Linked DNA regions of Macaca fascicularis. The main gene of each other region encodes a partner of the protein of the gene in region 2 in a complex. Links are inferred from orthologs where the notes say so. Each region holds a gene or a part of one and is shown on either strand. Other genes may lie near its edges.

Region 1 (3,802 bases), on a different chromosome or scaffold from region 2:
GGGACAGGGAAAACACATGAGAGAAAAGTAGTCACAGAGATGAAACAGAACCAGAATAGGCAGTGCCACCCAAGGCAAAGCCATGAGGACCAAATGCTTTACATTCATCAAGGGAGGTGAGGACTCACCCCAAAATGCTTTACAATTTAGAAATTAAGAAATTGATTCAACTTTCAAAAGCTGGAGGACAGGCTCAGTTGTAAGGGGTTGAAGTGTTGACAGAAAAAAAAAAAATTCAAGACAATCAACGTTGACTAGTCTGAAGAAGTTAGATTAGAGGTGCTGCATATTTATTTTTCTTTGACCATGAACATCTATTGACTTTTTTTTTTTTGTTTTTTTTTTTTTTTGAGGCTTCAAGACGAAATGAAAATGAGGAAAAATGTGGTTGTTCAAAGAGGGACTATGAGTTAGGGGGAAAAAATCAGAGAATCTGAGCATGCTTACACAGAGGGAAGCAAGCTAGAAAAAAATAAATCTAAGAAGGTCCAATAACAAGATAACTGACAAAATGAAATATTGGAGAAAACTACAGAAACAGGTCTAGGAAAATAGGAGGGACGCTCCTTGTAAAGGAGAGCCTTCCAAGAGTAGGGAATAAGAAAATGTTGAAAAGAATTAGAAAGCAATTCTGAGATGCAAGGTGGTCTGGTGACAGCTGGAAAGGAGGCAAGGTCACGCCAGAGAGGTTATCAGTCCTTGCATCAAAATAAGACAAGGTTAATCCTTTAACAGTGATGGAAAAAGGAGTAGAACTGAAGGCTTCTGAAATGAAGAGACTGTTTGGAGCAGGTGCTGGGAGAAATGTGGTAAGAAATAAGATAGAAGTAAAATGACTGCCAAACAATAAGGGCCTCCTTGAGATTAGAGAGAATGAATCTGTAACAACAGGTAAATAATCAAAATATCCCCCAATTATTTTAAGGTATATTTTTAAAAGATGCAGTATAAGTACAAAAAAATATATCAGCTCACTGCTGGCTGGATTTAATAACTCAATGTAATTCCTTAAAAAAAGCAATTTGGCAATACATATCAAGAGCTTTAAAATGTTAATACCCTCTGACCTAATTCCCTTTCTAAGAATCTATCTTAAGGCAATACTCAGGAACTTAGACAGACAAAGACAGTCCTTGTCAAATGGGAAACAGTGCAGCAGGACAGAGAGATTTGGGTTTGAATCCTGACTCTACCACCTGATAGCTGTGTAACTTTGCTTAACCTCTCTGAGCCTCAGTTTCCTCATCTGTAAAATGAAGATGACAATTTAACTAGTTTACAAAGTTGTTGTGAAAATGAGATAATGCACGATAAAGCAAAGGAGAAAATGACAGTTACTATTAAAACTTATAATAGTACAGTGGATTCAAATACCAGTAACTGAATGGTTATATAAATTATAGTATAGGCCGGGCGCAGTGGCTCACGCCTGTAATCCCAGCACTTTAAGAGGCCAAGGTGGGTGGATCACCTGAGGTCAGGAGTTCAGGATCAGCCTGGCCAACATGGCAAACGCCGTCCTTACTAAAAATATAAAAATTAGCTGGGTGTCGTGGCATGAGCCTGTAGTCCCAGCTACTCAGGGTGGCTGAGGCAGGAGAATCACTTGAACCTGGGAGGCAGAGGTTGCAGTGAGCCAAGATTGCACCACTGCACTCCAGCCTGGGAGACAGAGCGAGACTCTGTCTCAAAAATAAAATAAAATGAAATAAAATAAAAAATAAAAAAATTAATAGTATAATCTGATCATGAAACATTGCATAGTCACTAAAAATGGGATTTCCAAAAAACTTAAAAAAAAATTTCAGTGTACAGAATTACTTACTCGTCATCTGGAGTGAGCTGGACAGGTTCATTGGTAAACTGAGAATCAAAGTTGTCCAAACCAAATTCCCCAGAAATATTTGGTTTAAAGGGAGGTACCACCTGTTTTTGCTCCATCTGAAAAGACATATTGGATGACAGCTCAAGTCTGTATTATTAGAAAAATTGCACCTCTACAGTTCTCCTCTGCACTCATTGTTTCCCTTATTAAAGTGAGTCCTGAAGCACGGTACAATGATATTAGCAATGATGAACATAATTTACAAATATGAGCTGGGCATGGTGGCTCATGCCTATAATCCCAACTGCTTGGTAGGTTGAGATGGGAGGACCACTTGAGGCCAGGAGTTCAAGACCAGCCCGGACAATATAGCAAGACCCCATCTCTATTAAAAAATTAAAAATTGGCTGGGCACAGCAGTTCATGCCTGTAATCCCATCACTTTGGGAGGCCAAGGTGCGTAAATCACCTGAGGTCAGGGATTCAAGACCAGTCTGGCCAACATAGCAAAACCCTGTCTCTACTAAAAATACAGAAATTAGCCAGGCGTGGTGGCGTGCACCTATAATCCCAGCTACTCTGGAGGCTGAGACAGGAGAATTGCTTGAACCTAGGTGGCGAAGGTTGCAGTGAGCCGAGATTGTGCCACAACACTCCAGCCTGGGAGACAGAGCAAGATTCCACCTCAAAAAAAACAAACCAAAAAAAAAAATTGAAAATTAGCTGGGTACCATGGCTTATGCCTATAGTCCCAGCTACTTGAGAGGTTAACACAGGAGGATCTCTTGAGTCTAGGAGTTCAATCAAGGCTGTCGTGAGCTACAGTACAGCCTGGGCGATGGAGTGAGACTGTTTCTCTTAAAAAAACAAACAAACAAACAAACAAACAAAAACAAGTATAAACATTGATATGGGCTTCAATAACATTATAACCTGCTTTATTACATTAATATTCAATTTTTTGGCTGGGCACGGTGGCTCACCCCTGGAATCCCAACACTTTGGGAGGCTGAGGCAGGTGGATCACTTGAGGTCTGGAGTTCAAGACCAGCCTGGCCAACATGATGAAACGTTGTCTCCACTAAAAATATAAAAATTAGCTGGGCATGGTGGCATGTGCCTGTAATCCCAGCTACTTAGGAGGCTGAGGCAGAATTGCGTGAACCCAGGAGGCGGAGGTTGCAGTGAGCAGAGATCACACCATCGCGCTCCAACCTGGGCAATAGAATGTGACTCCATCTCAGAAAAAACAATACATTTTTAAAAAAAGGATTTTTTTTGTTTAAAAAGTTTTCTAAAAAGCAGTTTAGAAAGTGGTTTTAAGTTTTTAAAGCTGTGATATGTTAGCTAAGACAATAAAATTTGGCCCAAGATAGGCCAGGTGCGGTGGCTCACACCTGTAATCCCAGCACTTTGGGAGGCCAAGGTGGGTGGATCACCTGATGTCAGGAGTTCGAGACCAGCCTGGCCGACATCGTGAAACCCCCCCATCTCTACTAAAAATACAAAAATTAGCCGGGTGTGGTGGTGCGTGCCTGTAATTCCAGCTACTTGGGAGGCGGAGACAGGAGAACTGCTTGAACCCGGGAGATAGAGGTTGCAGTGAGCCGAGATCGTGCCACTGCATGCCAGCCTGGGTGACAGAGCAAGACTCTGTCCTAAAAAAAAAAAAAAAAAAAGATTTGGCTGAAGATAATAATGAAACCTAATAGAGAAAGTAATCAAAATTTACATACCATATCCCAATCAACATTTCGGAAGAACGGGTGTCCCTGAATATCAGCAAATCCTGTTTGAGGATGACAACCCAATCGTTCCTTAGGGTCCTATGGTGAAAGAAATGTTTCAAGAATTGGGTGAATGTCGTGCTTTAAAATAAATCATCTTTGTGATCTGTATTTTGTGCTCTCACATGATAGTCTTATTTCTGAAGTTGGAATGGTCTACCTTTTATTTCTAGAAAGTACAACTCCAGAA
Region 2 (4,528 bases):
CCAGCAACTTCTTAACACTTCCTTTGTGAGGCAGGGCAGGGACCAGAACCCAGACCTCTGAGCTGTCCCTGCTGCTTGTGCTGGGTGTGGCGTGGCCAGTGGCCACTCATCCTCCTCAGTCTAGCAGCTCTGCCAACAACTAACAGTCTTTGGCTGATGGTCTCAGCTTCCTCATTTGGGATGGGTAATATTGTTGGCTCCCTTGTAGAGCTACTGACAGCACTAAGTCAGCTGAAACCAGGAAAGGGCTTTGAACAGCGCCTGCCCCGCTGTAGGCACTTAGGGGCTTTACTGTCGTCATCCTCCCTCCTCTCACCTCCCCACTCACTCCTGGCCCCTCTTCTGGATCCAGCCCCAAATCCGGGGAAGGGCTGAACACGGCCGGCCTGGCGTGGGTGGAGGGGGACAGCCAGGCCCCAAGGCTTGGCAGCTGCCTCGGGGTCACAGGTCAGCTCCTCCTCCCTTGACACAGCTGGTGGGGTTGGGGCCTGTCCTACCTGCCCCACCTAAGCTTCTAGGACCTCCCGCAACCCCAGTGCCGAGCCAGGCGACCTATCCTCAGCCTGGAAGGAAAGGTTCAGCCTCGAGGCCATTGTCCAGATGAGAAAAGGCCTGGGAGGTGGGTGGGGACAGGCAGACGGCCCCTCAGACAGTAGGGGCAGGGCTAAGCTTTGTTCATACACTGTTCTCTGTGGGGGCAGGCCCTTCCCCCATCTCAGTAAAGCCCCAATCCAACCCCAGAACAGTCCCAAATGCCACCTCCTGGGTATCCCGTCTCTTTCTTTGGCTAAGAAAGAATCCCCTGTACTGTGACAGAGCCTTTTGCGTTGGGTCCTGAAAGATGTGTAGGAGTTCCCCAGGGGCTGGGGGTGAGGAAAGAATTCCTGACTATAAAGCCAAGGCAAAAGCACGGCGGTGGGAGGTGCTCTGACACAGCGAGGAACAGACAAAATGGAGTTCTGTGAGAATGGTAAACTATAAACTTGGCAATCACTTGACCAATGGTGTAGATGGGGAAACTGAGGCGCAGAGGGGCCAGGGAGTTGTTCCAGTCAGAGATCTCTTGGCTTTCGGAATAGGGCTGCCCCATTACTTGAGTGGGCACGTCGCTCGCTCTCTGGGAGGAGGAAAAAATCTTCTCCAAGCCCAGGAACATGCGCCAGTCCCCCTCCAAAGCGCTTCCCCAGCCGCCCGCGTTGGAGCCCCGGCTCATGGACTACACGTCCCGGCAGGCCCCGCGCCGCGGCGCAGGCTAGGCGGGCGTCCCTTCGCGAGCCCGGCCGAGCCCGGGGGCCCAGTTCACCATTGTCTGGCCAACAGGGGCGGGGCGGGCGGTACGGCGGGCATGCTCATTGGTCGGACGGTGCGTCCGTCGCGCCCCGCGCCCACCCCCGTGCAGGCCCGGCCCCGCGCGCCCGCGCCCGGGCCGCCTGGTGCCCCGCCCGCGCCTCAGGACCGGCGGGGCCGCGCGGCGCATCCTGCGGGCGGCGGCGGCGGCGGCGGCGGCGGCGGGCGCGGCGCCGGCAGCCGGGCGCAAGATGATGAAGTTTCGGTTCCGGCGGCAGGGCGCCGACCCGCAGCGCGAGAAGCTCAAGCAAGAGCTTTTCGCCTTCAACAAGGTGCGGCTGCGGCGCGGGCGCGGGCTCGGGTGGGAGGGGGCGGGCCGGGGGCCCGGGCTGGGGACCCGGGGTCGGAGCCACGTCGGGCCCGGGGGGCGGGGGCTGGCATGCAGCGCGGCGCGGGGCGGGGGCTGGGCCGGGCCGCGCACCCCCTCCTCGGGCCCAGCTCTGGCTCGGACTCTGGGTGGGTCTGGGTCTCCGGCCGACTTTCCGTGTCTGCTCCCGAGTCTCTGCGGGCCGCTCTGGCCCTGGGTCTGCCAGTCTCTGTGTGTCTGGGTCTCTCTGTCTCTGAGACTCTTTGCCTGTCTTTGGGTCTCTGCCCCACTTTCTCCGTCGCTGACCGGCTCCCTCGCCCCAGTTGTGACTGTGTGTGTGGTGGGGGTGTCTCTGCCTCTGCCCCTTCCTATCTTTGCCTCTCATTTCTCTTTCTGCCTCTGCGTCTCTGAGTCTTTGCCTGTCTCTCCCTGCGTGTCTCTCTCTCTCTCTCTGTGGAGTCTCTCGACCTCTTCTCTGTCGCTCACTCTCTGTCTCTTTATCCTTTTTCTTTGGGGCTCCTTTGCGTCCCTGCTCGGCCCTTGGGACAGCCGTGGGCCCCGGTTTGTTTTGTGCTTTGGCACGCAGGAGGGCGAGAGAGTTAGTGGGGACGAGGCAGCTGTGGGGGGTGCGGCTGGGAAATCCCTTCAAGGAGCCTCTCCTTCCTTCCCCCACTGCTCCAGGCTCTGCCTTGCCCTGCTCTCCCCTGCCCTGCCCGGGGCCCCGAGTCCAGGGGACATGCCTGGCTGTGTACTACAGTGCCCTTCACATCGTGGGGCCTCAGTTTCCCTAGCTGTGAAATGAGGCTACTTTTCTCCTTACTGTGGGCCCTGGCTCCCTCTGCCACATGGGCCAGCTGTCCTGCTGCCCCGCACCAAGGTGGAGTGAAGTGGAGGCTTTTCCTTCCTTTCCCCAAGTGGGACACTAGGGGCCAGGGAAAGGGGCCGCCTCAGCCCCCGCCTCCCTATGCACTGATGTTAGAGCAGGGCCTCAGCCTGCTCCTGGCTCACTCCTCTGGGGGCGTTGGTTTTGTCCTCATTCTTACCCCAGAGCCCACGGATCGCAGAGCCTCTCAGTGCTCTTCGAAATTAGAGTTATCTTCAAAATACAGGTGAGAAAATTGAGGTTCTGAGAGAGGTGACGGCTTGCCCAGAGTCAGAGTGAGCTGCACCAATATCTTTCTCGAGTTCCTGTGTCAGTGGGGTTGGATTTTAGCCTTGAGGGGCGGGGATTTTTCCAAGGGGCTGCTGTGGTCCTGGGCCAGTGTTGTGCCAGGTGCCCTGGGCTGCCTTGAGGAGACCCTTGTCTTGGAGGAGGCTCTGGGACGGTTGGACCTGGAGTAGCAGAGGCACTGGGATGTCTCAGGGTTTCCCTGCCTAGGTCTGCAGTGGTTGCCGGTGAGAGCTGCCAGGACCTTCACAGGGTGGCTGAGAACCTGCCAGGAACCTGAGAGGGGGCCCAGAGGGGAAGCTGGTGCTCCGTGGTCCCCAGATAGTGCCTGTTTTCTGTGCTGGGGAGGCTATGAGAGTTAGGTGAGAGGAGAATGGCCCTTCAGGGAAAGGCAGCAACAGGCTCAGGGCTAAATGTCACTTTTTTTTGAAACGGGGTCTCACTCTCACCCAGGCTGAAGTGCAGTGGCACAGTCACAGCCCACTGCAGCCTCAACCTCCCTGGCTCAGGTGATCCTCCCACCTCAGCCTCCTGAGTAGCTGGGACTACAGGCTCATGTCACCATGCCTGGCTAGTTTTTGTATTTTTTGTAGAGGTGCGGTTTTACCATGTTGCCGAGGCTGGTCTCGAACTCCTGGGCTCAAGCTATCTATCCATCCATGTTGGCTTCCCAAAGTGCTAGGATTACAGGCATGAGCTACCATGCCTGGCCTAAATGTCATTTCTTCAGCCAGTAAATTGGGATGTGCAGTGGGGACTGGAGACAGGTGGGAATGAAGCTCAGCCCACTCTGTCTAGCCTTGGGGTGGTGGGAAGTAAGGGCCCTCCACTGAGGATGAAGTGTGGGCAGCAGTGGTGGAAAGTAGGGTGGTCTTGGGGAAGGGACTTAGTCACCTAAGTGGGTCATAGGGGATCGCTAGGGAATAGGCCCCTGATTCCTGAGTTTGGGGGGTGGGAGACAGGTCAGGAGTGAGCAGGGACTTTGGACTCCGAGTCTTGGGTTCAAATCCCAGTCCAGCCCACATGTCGCCTGTGGAGTGTGCCTTCTCTGTTAATACTGAGCCCCACTGTGTGTGAGGTCTACAAGGTTCTGGGGACAACAGTAGTTATCAAAAAGGACAAATATGTCTTAACTCAGGTGGCTGATATGCTAATGCAGGAGACAGTGAAAAGCCAAAACAAAAAAATAGAATAGACGGTAGTTGGGATGTTAGCCAGTGCTGTGGATCAAATAAAGCAGGGCGAGGGGGAGGGAGGTGTGGCCAGGGCGGCTGCTGCAGCCAGGGTGGCTTAGGGAGGCTTCTCTGAGGAGATGACTCCTGAGCGACAGGAAGTGCTGGAGGAAGTGCATGCCAGGCAGAGGGGCAGTAGGTACAAAGGCCCTGAGGCACAAGCCTCCCTTAGCTGGGAACCCCAGGAGGATCCTGAGCAGGGGAGGGACGAGGATCTGGCTGTGGCTTTCATAGGATCCCTCTGGCTTCTGTGTGGGAACAGACTGTAGTGAGCACCAATCCAGGTGAGTGACAGTGGGGCCTGGAGCAGGGAGGGGGGTGACTTCTGTGTGTTTTGAAACTGAGTTGATGGGGCTCAGAAATGGGCTGGGCGTGGGGTATGAGGGAAGCAGATGGTGGACAGTGCATGCAACCTCCTTTCCTCTTCTGTAAAGAGGGAAGGCTGCGGGAATTTGTGATGCGATGTCCCGTCTG

Evidence for each region.
Region 1: the proteins of LLGL1 (region 2) and PRKCI are in contact, whole or in part, in a cryo-EM structure (PDB 8R3Y), measured with the Homo sapiens proteins. The link is inferred for Macaca fascicularis from reciprocal best matches to the Homo sapiens genes LLGL1 and PRKCI. Residues at the interface, in NP_004131.4 of Homo sapiens: Ala315, Asp319, Glu367, His391, Ser392, Ala394, Thr396, Glu453, Cys483, Glu484, His485, Phe506, Asp507, Pro508, Tyr509, Ser510, Asp511, Pro513, Gln518, Lys519, Lys569, Ala600, Val601, Thr602, Leu644, Gly648, Pro649, Leu650, Ser651, Arg652; in NP_002731.4 of Homo sapiens: Asp339, Met341, Gln345, Arg348, Leu381, Asp382, Met399, Thr412, Phe413, Cys414, Pro417, Leu425, Glu445, Gly449, Arg450, Ser451, Gly457, Ser458, Ser459, Asp460, Asn461, Pro462, Asp463, Asn465, Thr466, Glu467, Asp468, Tyr469, Leu470, Phe471.

The regions. Positions count from the first base shown.
Region 1 is NC_088376.1:81,805,550-81,809,351, reverse strand, and holds part of PRKCI (protein kinase C iota type), read right to left. Parts: intron 3,652-3,802; coding exon 3,562-3,651; intron 1,942-3,561; coding exon 1,826-1,941; intron 1-1,825.
Region 2 is NC_088390.1:18,351,543-18,356,070, forward strand, and holds the start of LLGL1 (lethal(2) giant larvae protein homolog 1), read left to right. Parts: upstream 1-1,460; 5' UTR 1,461-1,538; coding exon 1,539-1,619; intron 1,620-4,528. UniProt on the Homo sapiens protein: Cortical cytoskeleton protein found in a complex involved in maintaining cell polarity and epithelial integrity. Involved in the regulation of mitotic spindle orientation, proliferation, differentiation and tissue organization of neuroepithelial cells.